Caenorhabditis elegans: one gene and its partner. The protein of the gene in region 1 interacts with the protein of each later gene in a pairwise test. Each region holds a gene or a part of one and is shown on either strand. Other genes may lie near its edges. The genes, in order: C35B1.2 and F55F8.8.

The links.
Region 2: the proteins of C35B1.2 (region 1) and F55F8.8 interact in a two-hybrid assay, tested with the Caenorhabditis elegans proteins (one large-scale study listed by BioGRID).

The regions. Positions count from the first base shown.
Region 1 is NC_003282.8:4,084,347-4,089,304, reverse strand, and holds the start of C35B1.2 (SWIM-type domain-containing protein), read right to left. Parts: upstream 3,094-4,958; 5' UTR 3,081-3,093; coding exon 3,014-3,080; intron 2,926-3,013; coding exon 2,864-2,925; intron 2,808-2,863; coding exon 2,722-2,807; intron 2,672-2,721; coding exon 2,538-2,671; intron 2,465-2,537; coding exon 2,363-2,464; intron 666-2,362; coding exon 418-665; intron 87-417; coding exon 17-86; intron 1-16.
Region 2 is NC_003279.8:5,666,541-5,671,559, forward strand, and holds F55F8.8 (uncharacterized protein), read right to left. Parts: upstream 3,198-5,019; 5' UTR 2,298-3,197; coding exon 2,234-2,297; intron 2,188-2,233; coding exon 2,096-2,187; intron 2,052-2,095; coding exon 1,871-2,051; intron 1,804-1,870; coding exon 1,717-1,803; intron 1,312-1,716; coding exon 1,213-1,311; intron 778-1,212; coding exon 608-777; 3' UTR 529-607; downstream 1-528. Other genes in the region: ptr-10 (SSD domain-containing protein), read left to right, coding at 149-298, 356-423; zipt-2.4 (Zinc transporter ZIP3), read right to left, coding at 3,955-4,134, 4,182-4,343, 4,410-4,710.

The DNA of each region.
Region 1 (4,958 bases):
TAAATAATCTGTAAACCTGTATAAATCCTTCGAATAAAATCGCCACGGCTATCGGTTCCCGGATGGATGAATTGCTCGCAGACTATCTGGAAAATTACAGTTTTTACCCAATTTTCAGTCAATTTCTGCACTAAACTACGATTTTTAATGAATTTTCTGCATTCTCGGGCAATTTTTACAGCGACTTTTAGTAAAATTGTTCAAAATTTTAAGCAATTTTCAAGCCAATTTCTAAAATTTTAAAACGATTTTTGCACACACATTTTGCATAAAAAGTGTGAAATTTGAACAATTTTTTTAATCATTTTTAGCGATTTTTAAGTCAATTTTCCGGATTTTTTTTGCGATTTTAGGTTATTTTTAAAGCTTTTTCTCATAATTTTTTTTTCAATTTTTTGCAAATTTCCGCATTTCTACCTTCAAATTATGGTCATTTTTCTGTGTCATCAACGGGCGGGCTCTTCCAACTCCAAGTACATATTTTCTAACAAACATTTGTGCAGAATTCCATGTTCCGAGTCCATCATTACATATTTCTTCTTTTAATAATCCTTCTTCCAGATGAATTATAAATGTTCCAGTATTTGTGAATTCCTGTGGAATTGACGTACAAATTAATGATTTTGGGATCTCGGAGGCGTCTGTTGAAATAAAATTTACCACGTCTGGAAAGAAATTGCGTTAAAAATTGGGGGAAAATCGGGAAATTCCATTATTTGTTGCTTAAAAAACCTTCAAAATTATTCAAAATTCTCACTAAAATCCAATTGTTATTGAAACGCCGAAAATCCCAGAATTTAGGTGTAAATTCGCTAAAAATTGCTGAAAATCACTGAAAATTCGCTAAAAATCTGTGATTTTCGTGTAATTTTCAGATTTTCATCTCAAAATCGCTGCTGAATATTGGCAATTTTTGAGTTAATTCCTAGGATTTAAATCTGGAAATCTCTGAAAATCCGAGATTTTTGAGAAATTTATCTAGAAATCAAAAAAATAAGTGAATTTCCTTGAAAATTTGTAAATTTTACCTAAAAATCGTTGAAAATCGGTTAGAATTCTTGAGTTTCAATGAAAAATTGCTTATAATTCTGAAAAATCCAAAAATTTCAATGAAAATTCGCTGAAAATCCGAGAATTTTAGTTCAAATAGGCTTAAAAAAACAATAAAAATTCTGAAATAATAGTTGAAAATTGCTGAAAATGACATAAAATTCAAGATTTTCAGTGGAAATTCTCTTAAAATCAGTTAATTTTTCACAAAATTCCATTATTTTTTGCTTAAAAAACTTTAAAAGTACTCAAAATTCTCACTAAAATCCAATTTTTAATGAAAATTTTACAAAAAAAATCTTTAAAAATCCAGGAAAGCTGCAAAAATTGTAATTTTTTCGGGGTTTTCACCAATTTTTTATTCGATTTTCTAAATATTTCACAGATTTTCGACAGGAAAATGTTTCTAAAAATCCTTTAAATGACCGTTTCTAATACGATTTTTGAATTTTCGAAGCTAATTTCAAGTGAAATTCTGTCCAAAATTCCTTTTTTTGGGGAAAAATTCACAAATCGTTTTGGAAAACGGTCATTTATAGGATTTTTAGAAACTGTTCCAGTCGAAAATATGTGAAATATGTAGAAAATCGATTAAAAATTTGGTGAAAACCCCGAAAAAATTACAATTTTTGCAGCTTTCCTGGATTTTTAAAGATTTTTTTTGTAAAATTTTCATTAAAAATTGGATTTTAGTGAGAATTTTGAGTACTTTTAAAGTTTTTTAAGCAAAAAATAATGGAATTTTGTGAAAAATTAACTGATTTTAAGAGAATTTCCACTGAAAATCTTGAATTTTATGTCATTTTCAGCAATTTTCAACTATTATTTCAGAATTTTTATTGTTTTTTTAAGCCTATTTGAACTAAAATTCTCGGATTTTCAGCGAATTTTCATTGAAATTTTTGGATTTTTCAGAATTATAAGCAATTTTTCATTGAAACTCAAGAATTCTAACCGATTTTCAACGATTTTTAGGTAAAATTTACAAATTTTCAAGGAAATTCACTTATTTTTTTGATTTCTAGATAAATTTCTCAAAAATCTCGGATTTTCAAAGATTTCCAGATTAAAATCCTAGGAATTAACTCAAAAATTGCCAATATTCAGCAGCGATTTTGAGATGAAAATCTGAAAATTACACGAAAATCACAGATTTTTAGCGAATTTTCAGTGATTTTCAGCAATTTTTAGCGAATTTACACCTAAATTCTCGGATTTTCGGCGTTTTCCACTGAAAATCGGGCGTTCTCCAGTACTTTTATCGATTTTTTCAGCGAATTTTCAGTGATTTTCTCCAATTTTCAGCCAAAACCTTTGAGAGAAACAGCCGAATCCATGAAAATTGGCCAATCGAAATGCATTCCCGAACCATCTTTTCTGACGAATATTCTCCAGGTTTTCGAGGTTGAAGGCTCTGAAAAATTGAAAAATTACAGTTTTTAGCGAAAAATTCCAGAATTTCAGCATTTTTCCCTTTGAAAATCTACCTCCATCGTCATCCATAACTTCTGGATCAGAATCATCCAAATCTTGCTCCACGAGCTCGTCAAACGCGTCATATTGTTGATATGACTTCACTCGGACCGCCCGTGGAGGCTGACGCTTCGGAATATGGATTATTCTGGAATTTTATTGATTTTTAGGCAGTTTTTAGGCTTAGAATCCACTCACTCTCCTGTCCGCTTCCTTCCAGGCTTTCTGAGGACTTGTTTCCGCTTTTGACGGGTTAATGGGACCCTTTCCTGCCAGACGCCGGCCTAAAAATAGACTTTTTGTTGGAAAACTGAAGAAACCGATAATAAATTAATATTACATCTTCCTGAGCAACTTCCTCCGGATCCTCGTCCTCTCCAATGTCGAAATGGTCGAGTTCTTCTGGAAAAATTCGAAATTTCAGCGATTTTTAACATATCTTCGGAAAAAAAAAATCAAAATTCCCCTAAATTTTTTGGCTAAAACTCACGAATATTATCCTCATCAAACGGGAAATCATCCTCTCCTTCTATAGAAACCTCCAGACGTTCTGACATTTTCTTTTTCGAGCTGAAAATTAATTATTTTCACATTTTTTCGAATTTTGTCGATTTATAGGCGAAATTTTACGTTAACCTAACGGAAATATGAGTTTATAATGCATTTTTAATCGAAAATTCGGTTTTTTCAATAAAATTTGCTATGAAATCCGCAAAAACGCCTGGAAATTGTCTGAAAACGAAGAAAAATAAAAATAAAAATCCGAATTCTGTGCATTGTGACGTGGCGGTGTTTGCGTACCCGACATTTAATTTCACGACACTTGTTTTTATGTTTTTATTGTTTTCTCGATTTCTGCAAGTTTTCCACTTAAAACGTGCGGAAAAAATCCAGAAACTGTAAATAATACTAAAAAAATATAAATTTTCCACAAAAAAGGCATGAAAACTAACAATTACCTCAAATATCGTGAAAAATGCAAAAAAATAAGCCTTTCCGAAAAAACGGGCCCTTGGGCCTTTAAAGGACACAAAAACAGGAAAGCATAAGACACCAAAGAGTAATTGGATTTCTACACTTTGGTTCCTAGAATTATTTATAAGGTGTTATTGCGTTTTTGTGAGATTGTTCTATTTATCCAGTCAAAAATTGCATTTTCTTTGTTTTTGCTTCAAAAAAATACATTTTCAGTGGAAATTTCAGCTGAAAAGCAGAATTTTGAGGTTTTCGAGTAAATAACGTAAAACACTAAATTACAAATATTGATTTTTGATGTCTTAGACCAAATTTTCGTAAACATGTTTGTATTTTTGGAAAAAATAGGTTTTTTGTCGATTTTAACTTAATTTTTCGAACAAAAAATGATTTTTTCTCCGATTTACCAAAGTTTTGACTTAAAATTCCGATTTTCTGGGTCATTTTTCCCCTAAAAATACGATTTTAATTCAAAAAATCTATATTTTCAAAGACCAAAGTACCATAACCTTCAAAAAACAACCACTTTCTCTATTGCATCAGCGAATTGTCATCACCCCTCTCAAAATATACAAAACGTCATCATTTTTCTGTGTTTTCTCTAATTCTCCTGAAAAATTCTATAAAACCAACAGTTTTTATCATCAAAAATGCCTTTTGACCGACTTTTTTTAAAGTTGAAAATCGTACAGTTTTAGCAGAAATTCCAGAGTTTCATTTTGAAGTATGCTGGAAATAATAAAATTATTCTAACATTTATTAATATTTTGTAAAACTAATTCTATACAATAAAAAAGTAAAATTTAATATTAAAAAAACCGGTTTTTCTCAAATTTCCATTCCCCAATGTCCTGTTCTATTATTTGTTCCGATTCGGCCACAGAACGCGCACACACACACTTTTTGCTGATTCTCTGCCTCCTTTCTTTGATTTGACCGCATTTTATATTGATTTTCGGCCACAATTCCACTATTTGTTCAGTTTGTCGATTTGTTGGAAATTTCAATTCCGGCAATTCGCCGATTTGCCGGAAATTTAAATTCAGACAATTTGCCGGTTTGCCGGAAATTTTCAGTTCCGGCAATTTTTTAATTTGCCGGAAGTTTCCATTTCGGCAACTTGCCAATTTGCCGGAAATTCGCCGTTTTGCCGGAAATTTTCAATTCCGACAACTTGCCTATTTCCCGGAAATTACAATTCCGCCGATTTACCAATTTGCCAGAAATTTTTAATTCCGGCAATTTGCCGATTTGTCGGAGATTTCAATCCGGCATTTTGCCGAAAATTTCAATTTCGGCAGTTCGCCGATTTGTGGAAAATAACAATTCTGGTCATTCGCCAATTTGCCGAAAATTTCAATTCCGGCAATTCGCCGATTTGCCGGAAATTTTCAATTCCGGCGATTTTCCTATTTGGCGAATATTTTTAATTCCGCCGGTTTGCCGCTTTGCCGGAAATT
Region 2 (5,019 bases), on another chromosome or scaffold:
ACCGTACCCCAGAATATTCCATCATTCAACAATCTTTAAGTCATCCTTTAAAAAACTCAAACTTATCTCTCTTACAGTACCCCCAGAGTCCTGTTATCCTGTAACACAATCCTTACAGACAGTCGTTGTCTTACAACCACATTTACAGGTGCAATGTCAACAATTTTGGCAGTTTCTGTATTGTCTGATGTGCCTGCTTATATGATTGTTACATTTTTCAAGACAGTTTTTCTCGCAATTTCAATTGGATTCCTTCATGGATTAGTATTTCTTCCGTTGATGCTTTCCGTTTTTGTTGGTAAGATTTTTGACATTCACATTTCAAATATATCAATTAAATATTGTATTTATCTAGGTTGCTGTTCATCAAATAAAATCGAGACTAAATCAGTGAAAGAACCTCGTTTTGTTGGAAGATACTGATGGAATTTCTCTCAAATATCACATTTCCCACCACATTAATGATCTCATTTTTCTATTGAACCCGTGTGTAAAATATTTCTAGTTTTGATAAACTTTGAACGAATATTAAGATGTTTCAACACTTTATTTCCTATTTTTCACGATGTACAGATATTCAATGAAATGGAATTCAACTGTCAAATCGTCAGCTTGAATTTAGTGGTGTTGACTCATTTCGTATAATCATTTCAGCAACTTCATCATCTTTCTGAAACTGAAAAGTCTCTAAGTTGTTCAATCGCATTGGTAATTGTGGGGCTGGCGGTCTTGACTGAACTTCCACACGGTTATCAATTGGTGATTGTTCAATTGGTCCTGAAACAAATTAGTTTGTGGAAAAATTCCATCCTGTTTTTCTAATTTCTAATACCTCATTTCTACATACGTGAATATCCTATGCCTACCTTGTTAGAAGCTGCTTATATGCCTATCTCTTGTCTACCCATGTCCATTCCTCGTTTCTAACTTGTATGTTCTTACATTATGCCTATATCGAACCTCTCTAAATACGTATCTACCTATTAAAAGCCTACATTCATGCCTCGTATATTTTCAAGTTCCTAGCAATGTGCCTGCCCTTCGCCTACTTCAAATCTACTTCTTATCTGCATGTCTAAATGATTAGATAATGCCTATATCTTGCCTGGCTACCTCATTGCCGCATTTTTACGAACGAACAGTTTTTAATAGGAATTAATTCAGAATAATCTCAATGCTCAAACATAATATTTCCCAGAATGTTTAAATTACTTTGCATTCTCTGGAATGGAACAAAATGTCCTGGAATCGGTGGGCCTGCTCCTAACAATGGCATTGTTAATGGACGAAGTGCATTCAGCAAAGCTCCTTCTGAAAAGGCAAAAAATGGCATGATAACGAAACAAAATTGAATATTCTTTAAATTGTTGAATTTTTTAACTTTTAGAAATCTGTTTCTCGGACATGCTTGAGAAAAGTTAGGCTATATCTCAACAAAATATTGTTCTACCTTTCCCAATTTTTATATTAAGTCTAAATATATATCAGGTTTAGAATAATTATAAGTATCATTATTTCGTGGAAAGAACGAATTCAGCATCCTTCAATATTTGTGGGCTCAAGTTTTATGTAACCATGCAAACTTCACCAGAATTAGTTTAATATTATGAATCTCTATAAATAAAAAACTTATCAGAATTAAGTTTAATATTATTATTTTAATTAAAGCTAGTTGACATAAAGAAGAACAAAAAATAAAACAAAGTGGCAACCAACCCATAACCAATAATCCATTTCTCGATACAGCTTCCCGTGTTGCAATTGAATTTAACTGATTCACAAGAGATTCTTGTTCCGACATCTCTGAATAATTTTACTTTATTTTCATAAAAGATTATGTTTGCAAATATTTCATATATTACCAACTTACTTGCTAAAAACGTCCGATCATCTTCAATAGTCGGAGGTGGAGCTGGACGAATGATGACTTGTTGACCTGGAAGAGGTGGTGGAGGTATTGGAGCAGGAATTGGTGATTCAATAGATACAGATGTCATTGTATTTGTTTCCAAATTGTGTCGTCCAGTTAATGGTTGACCGTCTGGATTCATCTGTAATATTTATGTTACGATAAGAAAATTCAAAAATGGAAAACCTGATTATGTCGAATCGCTGCTTCTTTTGTCATTTTTTCAATTTGTAAATGCCGTAGATTTGTGTCTTCCAACATTCTTCGTACTTCCATTTCTACAATTAATATTTCGTTCATAGACGTTTCAATTATTTCACTTACCTGTCCATTGTCCGTAAACTTTCAAAAAATGTAGAAGTAGATACCAGGCAACTGTAGTTCTCATTCTAAATATTTTTCGGACGGATATTAATTAAATTATTTCAATAGACCAGAAAAACGTTCTAGCAGTTCCAATCACGGTTTTATTTTTTAAAATTATTTAAACTGTCTTTTTAGGACTTCAAAAAATACAAAAATTCTTTAAAAGTTGCAAAGCGTCCAAAATTATATGCATTCAGTGCGAAGCGAAAAAGTTATAAATTGGAAGTTATGCTAATTTAGCAAATTTTAACCAAAATTCCAATAATCCTTGAAAAACTTTTCTAACATTCAGAAGTCTAATTGCAAAAAATAGAGCAAGTATAAAAAATTTATTAGAAATCCAAAATTTAAAAAAAGAGCGGAGCCTATTTTTAGGTGTTCTAAAATTAATGTTCAACGAGCTAATAAATTTGAAAGTATTTAAAAATCAATTGATTCCAATCATGATCTGTAGTTTTTGTGAACATCTTATTGCATATATTGTAGGTTTTCCAAAAGGTAGCAGATGAGAAATGTTGCCTCAAAAATTACGGTAGCCGGTCTCAACACGACAAAATGTTGTTTTTTTAATGCAAAATTGTCTGCGTCTATAAAGAGTACTGTAGTGCCCAACTCCTCTCCTGTTTCATGAACATTCGAATAAATGTCAATTTTTGAAAACAATTAAGTACTATTAATAACAGGTGTACAGCACTTTTTAAAGGCGCACACTTTTTTGCATTTAATTAAAATTTGTCGTGTCGAGACCGGGAAATGTATAAGTTTAAGACAAAATTTCCCATAATCAAAAGTTTAAAAGCTTTTACTGTGGTTTTGGTATCTATTTGAACAAAAAAAACAAAAATTTAGATGAAAAATAAAATAGCCAGTGCGACTTGGCATAGCATAGCCATTCAGTCAGTTTGATTTAAAACTAGTTGGTTAGCCATGTGAAGTGCCAAAAAGGGTTTATAGTAGAAAGGAGAGAGGATGAATACGTAACAAAAAGTCACTTTTCTCTTTTTTTACTGTATTCCTTCTCCTCATAATCCGCCTTCCGATACTTTCATTTTTCGCCACGTCATTTCCTATTTCAGAAGACAATAGAATTAAAAAGTGAACATGGAGTTAGTCATCTAACAATGTGAACATTTTCAAGAAGCATTGATTTTATTCCGAAAAGTTAAGAATTCACTGATTCTCAGCATTATTTTTTATAGACAAATTAAAGCATTTTTTGTGCGGAAAAACCAGAGGGGGCATATGAGAATAAAAATAAAAACAAAGCACAACATTATGAGGAATAGAGAAGAGGAATAATTTTAACATTTTGAAGAAAAATTGGGAAGAGGAAAACAATTCAATCGAAAGCCACTACCCGCAACTATAGGAAATGAAATGAATGGTTGAAAAAACTGAAAATGGGCAAAGATTAAAACAACAAAATTTGAAATACATTATTGATTACCGGCAAATGCGAATACATTTTCTACTATTCAATAATATTTTCAACAACTGGATTCGAATGGTGAATATGTCGAAAATGAAGAAAAGTGATAGTATGCTACAGAAATCGAGCGTCTCACAAAATTAATACATACAGTTACGGATTTGTTAGAGTAATTTTGTGATACGCATGAAATGAAAATTGATTATGAGATGAGATTAACTTATCAAAAAACAATATTATTTTGGAATAGTTAATGTCCATAGTCATCAAAAGATGAATTTCCATGGAAATGTGGTTCTGTCGAGCCACTATGAGAATGACCATGACTCGATTCGAATCCACGTAATGCTCCAATCAATGCAAATCCAATAAACATCACTAAAAGTTTTAAAAGATTTGGATGCTCGTTGTCTCTTTCGTGAAGAAGAACCTGAAAATGTGTTTGAATTTTAACTCATCAAATGAAAAATATAAAACCTCGAAGAAAGTGACATAGATGAATGTTCCGACTGCAAGACCTTGCAGAATCGTGATCGTCAAATCTTTCCAGAGGGCATTATCAGCTGCTGATGTGACTGCAAGGCCAATCAGTGCACCAAGTGGAGTCATTGAAGCAAGTGTGAAGATTGAGATGATCACCTGAGAAATGAAAAATAGTTGTTTTTTTTAATTTGATAGTTTTTCAGAGAGTAAATCTTTCCTTACCCATTTAATCTGATGTGCATGAGTTCTGAACAATTGAAGGCCAACAGAAAATGCGACAATCAATTTGTGAACCATTAATGATAGGAATAAAGCAATAATCGTATCATTTCCTGATTGAACTCCAAATGCGAGACCTTCAATAATTGAATGAATTCCCAGTGCCAATACAAATGTAATTGATCGTACTCCATGAGAATGAGCATGTGGGCGAGATTTCATGAGAATTGGAGGATCCTCATCAATTGCTTCACAATTTGTTTCACATCGTTCTGGCTCGGCAAATGCAACTGGGGCGAATGTACTGAAAGAGAGCAATTTTATTTTAGAAATCTGTTTTTTTTGAAAGGGAGTTTACGAACAAAGAGTATGGAAGAGATTTATTTGCGATAGAACTGACAGAGGAAAACAATTATATTTTTGGACCATTGGATTTAGATATTTTATATTTTACATATAAAATTAATTGTTGCTTCTTAATCAATTATTATGAAATTAAAATGACCAAAAAAGCATAATAAAACATTTTTAACCTTTTTTGAGTCAAAAAGTGGTAAAAACTAAGCTGGTGCCCCCTTTTGAGAAATCTAAATTTTCCAAAAAATAAAAAAAA